Linked DNA regions of Oryzias latipes. The protein of the gene in region 1 purifies or fractionates together with the protein of each later gene. This does not show direct contact. Links are inferred from orthologs where the notes say so. Each region holds a gene or a part of one and is shown on either strand. Other genes may lie near its edges.

What was found. Proteins that work in one complex are often made in the same cells at the same time.
Region 2: the proteins of probable E3 ubiquitin-protein ligase DTX3 (region 1) and rnf114 purify together in Homo sapiens (affinity purification with mass spectrometry; 3 studies listed by BioGRID and IntAct, counting the BioPlex papers as one, with this or other methods). This does not show direct contact. The link is inferred for Oryzias latipes from reciprocal best matches to the Homo sapiens genes DTX3 and RNF114.

Annotation. Positions count from the first base shown.
Region 1 is NC_019865.2:11,543,632-11,548,943, reverse strand, and holds the start of probable E3 ubiquitin-protein ligase DTX3, read right to left. Parts: upstream 3,342-5,312; 5' UTR 2,758-3,341; exon of another isoform or gene 2,744-2,757; intron 2,575-2,743; 5' UTR 2,550-2,574; coding exon 2,537-2,549; intron 2,128-2,536; coding exon 1,337-2,127; intron 667-1,336; coding exon 449-666; intron 1-448. Other genes in the region: prostaglandin E synthase 3, read left to right, coding at 5,107-5,108. UniProt on the Homo sapiens protein: Regulator of Notch signaling, a signaling pathway involved in cell-cell communications that regulates a broad spectrum of cell-fate determinations.
Region 2 is NC_019865.2:15,131,411-15,136,717, reverse strand, and holds the start of rnf114 (E3 ubiquitin-protein ligase RNF114), read left to right. Parts: upstream 1-1,783; 5' UTR 1,784-1,868; coding exon 1,869-2,005; intron 2,006-2,516; coding exon 2,517-2,667; intron 2,668-2,753; coding exon 2,754-2,860; intron 2,861-5,307. UniProt on the Homo sapiens protein: E3 ubiquitin-protein ligase that promotes the ubiquitination of various substrates. In turn, participates in the regulation of many biological processes including cell cycle, apoptosis, osteoclastogenesis as well as innate or adaptive immunity.

The DNA of each region.
Region 1 (5,312 bases):
AGCTGCGGGCTGGAAACGACCTCGAGGCAAACCCCGTACTCGGTGGACGGATGTTATTGCAGGGGATGTTAAACCTTATGGGGTTGCTATGAAGGATACTGAGCTTCTGGCACAAGACCGGAAAGCTTGGAAGACCCTTGTTTTTTTGGTCGGCTCTACGCACTGGGAAGGGGCATCCCCCCCCCCCCCCCCCCCCCCCGCAAGAGCCTTGATTGATTGATTGATTGAACTACCTGAACAAAACTGAAAACATCATTCAACAATTCATTTTTTACTTTCCCACTCATTCTTAGGGATTCTTTTTTTCAATTCCTCTTTCACGTACCTTACTTCCACCTACCTCCCCTCTAAAAGAAAAAGTAGGACAACCCTGAACCTGCATACACACACACACATATGAATGGGATGAATACTAGCAGTGTACCTCCAAGGATAAAGTTTTACTTACCAGCGTGGTCCGCCCCATATTGAGGTCTTGTGATGGATGTCATTCCAAGTAATAACATTCTGCATGCCTGTAGTCAGAGAGGTACCGATGGTAAAGATAAGGCGCTGTTCGAAGGCCCGCCGCAGCAGGCCCAGCACACGGTTCCCCTCAGGGCTGTCAGGGAGGTAAGCGACCCGGTCTGTTCCGGGGTATCGAACACCCGGATTGGGATGCTCTATCTGTTAAGAAATTTTAAAGAAGGTCAAAGTGTTGTCTGGGCATTTTTTGGGGGGGGAAACCCCTCATACTTTTTCTAAAATTACTTCCCAACACCACAAAAAAGGGAACTACCAATTGTTTGCAAAATCACGAAGGGATCAAACTTCGGTAATTTCCCCCTTGTGGGATCAGTAAAGTTTCATTCTATTCAATTTTAACTTCAACTGAATCAGCACTCGTTTTTTGTTTTTTTTGTTTTTTTTTAAATAGACGGCAAAAGAGGTTTGGGGTAACTCCGCCTCTTACTGATTTATGTAAACTTCCAAAAAACTAACAGCACATAGCTCTTATAGAAAATTCTTATGGTACTTAATGTCACTCAGGTTTTCTTAACACAGTCAATATGAAGAAAGTGCACAGGAAGAGTTGCTAAAATGTAAGATAATTCCAGATATTATCAATTAACTTTTTTTAAGGTGGTATGAGGTAGACATGCATTCCAGGAGCAGTTAATGGCAACACTGTGGATTGAATGTTCAAGATTAGAACTTGATTTCTTTGAAAATCCTTACAAAGCCTCTGTGAAAAATACTCATTCAGATTTAAAACAAAACATAATTCTTTCTACTTGAGGGGGAATATTAAAAAGCATTTCACTGGAAGTCTGAACTGTGCTCTCATTCTACTCACTGACTGCAGGCCAGGAGGGAAGCTGTAAATGATGCAGATACACCCGTAGCCTTCATGGCCAGGAAGCTCCAGGTCAGGATCCCGCTCTACAATCATTGAACCATTGGCAGGCTGGTTCCCGACCAGTTGGCCGTACACAAGTCGACAGACAGGGCACGCTTTCTTCACCTTGAAGGCTTGGTCCAGACAAAAGCGACAGAAAGAATGGCCACATTTCTCCAGAGTGGTCTTTTCCACTATGTCCCCCATGCAGATTGAACAAGTGTTCCCATCCTCAGCCTCACTCTGGGAAGCTAAGCTGGAGCCCAGGTCCTTCCTTTGGGCTGCCTCATGGAGCATGGCAAACGCCTCCTCATCAGCAGGCTTCCTGAACCTCTGCTGCTGTCTCTGGGAGCGTCTGGGTTGCAGGGGAGGGGGCTGCAGCAGGTTCCCCTCTCCGTTCTGTTCCACCCCACATGGCAGCATGCCCCTCTTCCTCTTGGATCCCCCATCCTGTTTGCACATCTCTTTACGGGCACAGCGGCATAAGTCAATAAAAGCTTTTCGGGTGTCGCTGGAGACCGGTCCGCCCATCACTCCGGCATTCCTGAAGCCTTCAACTGGCTGGAGCCGGACAGCACAACAGCCACCCCTCTCCCCCCGCCTAATGATCCCGGCGCTCATCCCCTGCCTGTGCTGGAAGTCAATGAGCCAGGGCCGCCCAGCTGCAGCCAGGTAATCCCACACCGCCTGAGAAACGAGCACCTCATCACTGCCCTGGCCAGCACGCACACTCATCTCATCAGAGGAAACTGAAGAAAACAACAAAGTTGGAACAGTGTTAAGGCATGACAGTAAATCCATCCCATAATGCTCAGCCCTTTGTAGTCCTTGATATGCATTATGAAGGTGATGCTAGCTCCTTTTAACAGAAGAACTGAGTTCCTCCTGTCACAGAGGAAATGCTAACACCACTAGCTTTCCTCGTTTTAGCCCCTTTTCCTCTTCTTCTTCTTCTTAACCCCCCAGGTGTGATTAGAAACCCAACAGCTGACTAAATAAAGGACATTTCTGTGGCCAGCTAAGAAACGCACAGCAAACGGCTGCTAGCTGTGGAGACATTTCCTGGATGTAAACAAAAGAAAATAACCTCACAGACATCCAAGCAGTGACAGCAGCAAACAAACACACTGAAGACGTGTTTTCGAGCGCAAACGTTACCTTGTGATCCCATAAATTCTTCCTCTAATTCAAGCGTCCTGTTGAAGAAGAGGAAAGGGAAAAAAGTAAAGAAGAAGAAAAAGGAGAACACAGCTGATGTTATGTTTACACACGCAGCCTCCGCAACGACAGGAGGGGAATTTGACGATTTCGAAACATTAGCTTTGAATGGACAATAAAAGTAGGGCAGCTCCTTTTAATGATTACCTCCGACACCTCACCCGTGTTGTTGCTCGCCTGTCAGGGAGGTTTGAGGACGGATTAAAGAGCACCGCGCTCCATCCGCGGAGGCCTTCGTCTCTGACGTGCTGCTGCCTTCTGCAGTTTAATGGTGGAACATTAATCTGTCGTGGTCAAGGCATGACACCCGAGCGTGTTCCCGGTGGACGGCCGGTGTGTGTCTTTCATCAGCGCTGTGGAAAAACGCCACCCGCCGCCGCCGCCGCCTCCTTACTTCGCCCCTTCGCCTTCCTCGTGCGTCCTCGGGCTGTAGGCGTCATCCACAGTAAACACGCATTTGTAGTTTCTTATCGGGCTCGACCACTCTAGCAAAAAAAAAAGCGACTTCAAACTGTCAGATAAATACGGTTGGCGTTTTGTCATCAGTGCATTGCAGTTTGTTGGGAGAAAAGGTGAGCAGGAAGTTCGTCACTGAGTTGGTTGGCGTGCAGGTGTGAGTCACGCTTTTGACAGTTTGGAACACCAAAGTGGCACGCGGGATCCTACTCCCCATCCAGGGAAAACCCACTCGTTTGTTATTCATGATTATGTGGGAACAATTCTCATTTGATGACATCATTGGTCTTTTATGAGCTCATAAAGGTTTTAGTTTCTAATTATAGGTAATAAAGTTCAATTTAAAAAATGAAAAGACAATAAAGTTCAGTCTAAAAAAGCCTAAAACTTAGACATGCCCATTATTCCCCTTTAAATAATCATTCATTTTAATTCATATCAAGTGTGCCCTTTATTATAACATTATAAATGTTGTGTCAGCTGAACGCTGTATCTCCTGTATTTTGTAATTTGAGGAAGGATTTTTATTTTGTTATAAGCTATTACTGTAAGTGCTCATCTTCAGATTTCAGTGTCAACATAAGTAAAGCTTAAATATTTGAGTTATTTGACCTTCAATTGGGTCCTGTAATCTTATAGTTGGAGGACAGAAAAACTGCTGATGAATTTGCTGATAGATGACAGAGGATATCTCTGCAGTTCTTACCAAACATCTGCAAGGTGAGCAGGCTGGGCCTGGACTGTTTTGGCTTCTCTGAGACACCGTACCTCACCCACTGCCATGCAAACAAACATGGCTGTATGTGTAAATATGTTTCATGCCGTTTTTGTTCAAAGTCACAGAAAATATAATTCGGGAAAAAATTTAAGAAAAAGACGATTTGGGAAAAAATCTTTTAATGTTTTAATTAAATGTGGGATGTGGCCTAGTATGTGTCCCCTAAGTTGTTTAAGAAATAAAATTACGTTTGTGGTTTACTGAAGGTAAAGTTCATGTGTCAAATAAACAATTATTCTTCAACCTTTGTTTTTGTCTAATGAATATTCAAATAATGTAAACTGCTGATTTTAACATGGATAAAGTAAATTTCCTTGAACAGAACTCAAAGATGTAGTGATGCAAAAAATACAGACATCAGAGCTTTTAATCTTTATATGCATGGAGCAAATATGTTTTTATTAACTTGGAGAGATCTCCAATCTTAATGCAAAATAAGAATATATGGTGAGCATCGGTGGTCCTTTTTTTTTTTTAATCTGACATGTCCTGTCATTATTTCTCCACAAAATATCCCAGGAACTGTGATTCTTCTTTGCTTCTCAATAAATAAAAACTTTGTTCTAAATTGTCACTAAATTCCTAAAGCGCTTTTCTAGTACATATCCAGAATTCCTGAGCAACTAAAGCAGCACACCCGGTTACAATGGGAAAATCTCAAAATAAAAACTGCAACTATAAAACATTTTCACATTTCACACATCATTTTACAAATATGGTTCTCTATTTATTCCTGTAGTATTCTTGATCACTTTACATACATGTCAAATTAAAACAAAGTCAAATTTCACACAACAAATTACTAATGAAAAAATAGCATTCAAAAACATAAATCAACATGGTAAATTACAAAAACATCACGATATCAAAACTTCATACTTCCATAAATCTAAAGCAATCTAATTTTATTTATTTATTTATTTGTTTTCGATTAAAATCACATTTCAGCTGTTCAGATTGCTTGTCTTTGAATAATTATCGATTATACATTTGGCTGTAGTTATAGAATGGCACTAATGGGGGCGCTGTTCAGTTAAAAGCACTGGGAACGTTCGCATTCTAGAATCATCCACTGTACCCACGTACCAGCCAGGAGGGCGACGTGTAACGTCACAAGGAAGTGTGGAAAACACGCGATGTTTGGAGAAATACCAGCGCTTATGTGGTTAACCCTGAGTTAAGTCTCAGTTACCATTTTTGCCGGGCTTTATTAATAGTTAACACAGTAATTTATTTTGGGTTACGACGAGTGAGACCAATTACCTAAACGGTGAAAATGTAAGTTTTGATTTCAGTGTGTTTGGCTTGTTAAATCGGTAGTTAATACGCGTCAAGTCTTGAAGTGGGATATACCAACTAGCTAACATGAGCGAAGTAAGCTAGCACACGAGTTAGCCTCAGTTCAGCTACTTTAGTGAAAGGTTAACCTAAAAGACAGCGTGTGTAGTTCAAATCCCCACACTTGTTTTATTTTTTTATTTT
Region 2 (5,307 bases), about 3.6 Mb from region 1:
AGGCTTGGATGCTGTGAATGCGGAGCTCCACGTCCCTCTTCTAGAAGACGTTCTGTTCGTTAAACGATTCTTCTGAGCCACCTCAGAGTCCTAATGAGAAATCAAAATGACAGAAATAGAAATGTCATTTAAAAACACAAGCTCAGAAAGTATTGTTACGAGAAAAGCTTCACTTTAAGTTACAAGATGTCGCAACAACCACTATATGCTCTGCATAACTAATTATTCCATTTTTTAAGGGAAGTAAAGCATCACTAATCTCAGGCAGATTAAGTATTTTGTGTGGGAAGCATTGTGTGGGTTCCTTAATTAATATTGTCAGTCACAATCGTAAACCTGCTGCATTACTGCGAAACGATGACCAATAAGGAAGGGGAAATATAATGGGTGACTGGCACTTGAGGCTGACGCTCGACACAGATAAGGCTGTCCCTTTCAGTTAACGTTTCAATTGGAAAAGGATTTATCGGGGCTGTCCACACGTTACCCTAATTATATGGCGGGACATAAAACAGGCAAACTGAACCGACAGGTGACTTATGAAAACGAGCTGCAATGTTTTCATGCCAGAGGAGAGGTCCAGGAAATTGGACGTCGTTTCCTGGTAAATAAATCGGGTGGCTGTTCCAGTTTTTTTGCCCTGGCATTGGATATCCAGTTAGCTAGCAAGCTACATCAACATGCCTTTTCACTGCGCATCAGTTAGGTCAGCATCGTTAATTAACACGGGTGATGTAAAACAACACATCCACTGTAGAACGTGTTCTAAAAGACTTTCGACATCCTAAATAAAACTGGCACTGACCCCCAAATGAGTACAAGCTAAGCAGTGAACGCCCATTTAAGCGCAGATGGCTAGTTAGCAATTGACTCTGGGCGGGCTAGCAGGGCGTTCCATTGCTACACTCACTCAGCTATTTCACGCTATATAAGAGAAATTACCCAAACAGATAAAATAACAAGCCATTTCTCTTATCAACAAACATGTTATTACGATACTGTAGGTGTTACGAGTCATAACCAACCCAGAAACACAATCAAATCGTTATCTTACCTTTTCATAAGTGCTAACCATCGCTAGTTACGCCTCCTCAGCTGTTGAAAATTCATTTTTAGCGGAGTACGCATGCGCAAAATCTTGACAGTTCATGACCACTAGGGGCCCACGTGTAAAGGGAGGGGATTCAGAGCCCACACTGACAGTCATTAGTATTAGACAAAACCAACAAACAGATGCACATAATAAACCCTATAGGTAGACCGTCAGTCATTAATCATTAGACACTGCAAACGCTAGTTTTTTTAGACGCTAATTAATTTCACCACCTAAAGTCACCCACAATAAGGAAGTGTTGATTTGGATCACAATAGTACAAAGGCCAATAGTTTGGTTTATATTTATGTTTTTAATTATGCAGATAAAATATTTACTGGTTTAATCAGAGGCCAAACGTAACAATACCAGGCTGCATTCTTCGATCACCTCACCTGCACCTAAAAAAGATGATGGATACGGACATTATTCTAAATTCCCCAATTACTGACAATGACGTTAGAAAACGAGGACGATTACATTCTCTTTTGAATTGAAAGTTATATTTTCCAGTCGCCGAATGACTGCCTTAAACTTAGTAGAACTTGGAGGTGGTTGGATTTTACAGTTATGGTGGAGAATTTCCGCCATAGACCTCAAGTTTGAGTCAACTGCTGCACTGCCAGACAGAATAAATAGAACTGCACGTAGAGCAGCCTCTGCTCATACATGCAGCGGTGGCTCCGCCCCACGCCGTAAAAAAACAACCAAAACCCAGTGACGTTGCTATGGGAAGGGTTGCTTGGAACTAATGCAGTGAAGAAAAGAAATAGAAATGGCGGTGCGCGGAGGATTTAGCGCTGCACAACAGAGAGAAACCACTGCTGACGGCAGCAACGACGTGTCAGATTTTATGTGTCCAGTTTGCCTCGAAATCTTTGAGAGACCTGTCAGAACACAATGTGGACATACGTAAGTATTTCGCCTTATTTTGACCACCCTCCCCTTACTGAGGCTCAGCACCATCGATGAAACGATACCAGTTAAAAACAATGAAGGGAAATGCTTGATCTTTTAACGCATTCTGGCATTAACAGAATGCCAACGTTAATATTCTTAGATTCGCTATGAGCTAAAATTCTGTAATGTTGTCTTTTTCTGCGTGTATATATTTGGCAAAACCTATTCTAGCCTGTTAAATCAGTTTCAGTTTTGTTTACATCAAAGAATAGGCTTTATTAGGGAAATGTAGTTCATAAATCTTTTGCAGTTACTCGAAAGACTAATGTGACGGACTACAAGTCCCTGCGCCCCCTTGAGGTGGGGATTTCCATCGAATTTACCGGAAGCTAAAGTAAAAAATAATTGTCTTTGAGAGCTGTGTGGGTATTAAATAATTCCAACTAATCAATTATATTTATGTGAGGATTTTGTTTAAATATTTGTCTTTTTATTGTTGTTATTTCTTTCTACCTCTTGGCAGATTCTGTCACAATTGTTTGCAAGAGTGTTTGCGTCCTCAAAAGCCCGTATGTGCGGTATGTAGGACTACAGTTGGGCCGTGGACCAAAGCAGTGGATCTAGAAGCCCTCATCCAGTCATCAATCTCAGCTTGTAAGGGATGTGGAGTTCAGGTATACTATGAGGCAACCGTTTGTTGTACGTAATTAACCACACAGTTTCAACTTACATTTATTAATGAATTCTTCTTTTGCACAAGATTGTTCTGTCTCAGATGAGGAGCCACACAGCTGCCTGTTTAAAATACCAGGACTATATTGAGGAAGGGGTGAGGACAAGTGTCCAAAGCCAGCCTGCTGCTGTGAGGTAAGGCACAACAAAATCAAAAACATCAGGTTGTAGTCATAAATAAGTAACAAAGGTTTTCATGTTATTTTGTTTTTACAAAGTATGTGCAGTTACAACAATGAAAGAGAAAAAATAGAAATTTTAGTTGACAAAAACCCTACAAGGATAGAATCATATAGAATCAGGTACATTGGATGCTCAAACCACTATTGGTGCACATTTTAATCATTGAATGTGGTTTTTATTTGTATGCTTTTGCACAGGTTTCACAGCCACAGTGGAATTAGTTGTCTATGAAAGGTCATTACTTATATTTACATACCTACCAATTATTTTCATTTGTACGTAGATTAACCCCTCTCCTCAAGTGTCTGTAAGTCCATAACCATCACAAGACGTTGAATGATGATTCATTGTTCACTACCATGTGTCCAGGACACAGATGCCTTCTGGGTAAATGGTTTTGTCTCCATTGTATAGAAAAGGGGGGTCAATATTTGACTGCTTTTGTTCATTTATCTAGGTGTAGAAGTGGGAGTTGAGAATAGAGCCATTGTAGGTACCATTACTATTCGCCCTGCAATAACCGTTCGGGGTCCCTTCGACTGAGGATGACGTCACACTACGGTAGCACCACGTGGACAAACTACATAGCATCCAGATCTGCTCGGGCTCTACATATTTTCATTTCACATTTCCTTTTGTTACATAAAGTTATTTTCCCTCGTAAGTTGTGTCTGACATTATCCTTTGTAATGTTTATGGAGAGATTTTGCCACAACCCACTTTGTAAAAAGATCTGTGGTTTTTAGAATGAACCTGCTGCTCCACACAAGCGAACCATGTCTCTGAGCAGAGCAGCTGGAGTCTTGTAGCTTCGTGTTTGCAGGCAGGGAAGGTGCTTTGTTAAAGTGTGCGGTCCGGAGAAGGGTTCGGAACACAGTCCGTTCGGCTGCAATGCACTTCTATGGTTGTATCGTAATTTGTCCAGACCAATCACTATCTGAAACGTCATCGGACCAATGGACAGCCAATCACATAATGTGACGTCGGCACTAGTTGAAGGACCCAGAAAGGTTATTGCAGGCCGAATGGCTGTGGTACCTACACCGTCAAAAATATTCCTGCTCTGTTGGAATGAAAATCATGTCTCCCATCCTCACAACCTGTATTTTATTCTTTAAAGTCCTAAGACCAGTCTCTAATTAGTAATCTTCTGAAAAAGCTTTTTTGGCAAAATGGTGATGAAAGCCCATCTTTAGACTTCCCTTGTCTTAGGCGTGACAGAGCAGGGTATCAGGATCATGCTATTGTCAGAGGACCTAAATGACTGTGATATAACCTGAAGAAAGTCTTGAGTCATGGGTGAACCAGTAGGGGATTTTGAATATTCTCCCAAAGCAGTTGACTATGCACCAACGTCCGATTTGGCAGAAGATGTGGAATTTTACAAGCAGAGGTCAAAACATAATGTAACAGTATAAATGGAAGCACCTGCAAAGGGCCTGCTTATAAGGTGTCTACTGCACTTTGACAGACCCAACTATTATATATCCAACATTAAAAAAAAGCTTCTTCGGAGTAAACATTCTCAAGGCCAGTAATTGTGTCTAGCAGCTTGTTTAAAGGTCAAGTTGTCCTTGATTGTTGGTTTATTGAACAACAAACAGAGGAGGATTTTGGTTTTGTTTCACACTGTTTGAGGTCTGATCATCTACCTGCGCTGGCAGAAGTGACGACCGAAAAGTGTACTATAGTTGGTACGAAGTGATGACCTTAAAGTTCCTCTCCAATAATCTTTTGATCCATTGTGAAAGCATTTCCAGTGCTCTTTTAATTACAATCATGCTATTTTTAGACTAAATCAAAAATCCTTGGTCATATTTTCTGTAGAGTGACAGGAGTTCATTGGAAGTTGTAGGTAGAACATAGTAAGCCTGCCTCCATATCCCATCTATTTACACCCCCTCCCACTAGCTTACAACTCCTCACACTCAACATAACAATAGCGGTGCAACAAAAATGACAAGCAATATCTGAGCTATCCAGCTGTACACTTTTAAGCCAGATGTCAGCTCAGACGAAAAAAGCAAAAATGTGCATGGATCTATTTATCTGCAAGTGGATGCATCGGAATGAAGCAGAGCAGGAAGCTTGTGGCCTTCCGACTGTGGGACCTACAGAACTGCTGCAGGCTTTTTCCGACAGCATTTTTTGTCTGCTTCTGATTCACCACAATTTGAATAAAGAAATACTTAGAAATGCAGTTTTAAGCGTAATTTTTTTAATATGTATCCTTCATCACAAGAAAAATGCCACAAGAACAAGAAAAACACCAATAACAAAATTTTCATAGAAGTTGGTTTTTAAGTACTTTTGTATCTATTGATCGTGCTGCATCTGTGGTGACATAGTAAAATGCTTGCAATAAAGAAACAATGAAATGAAGGCACCAAATTCATAGC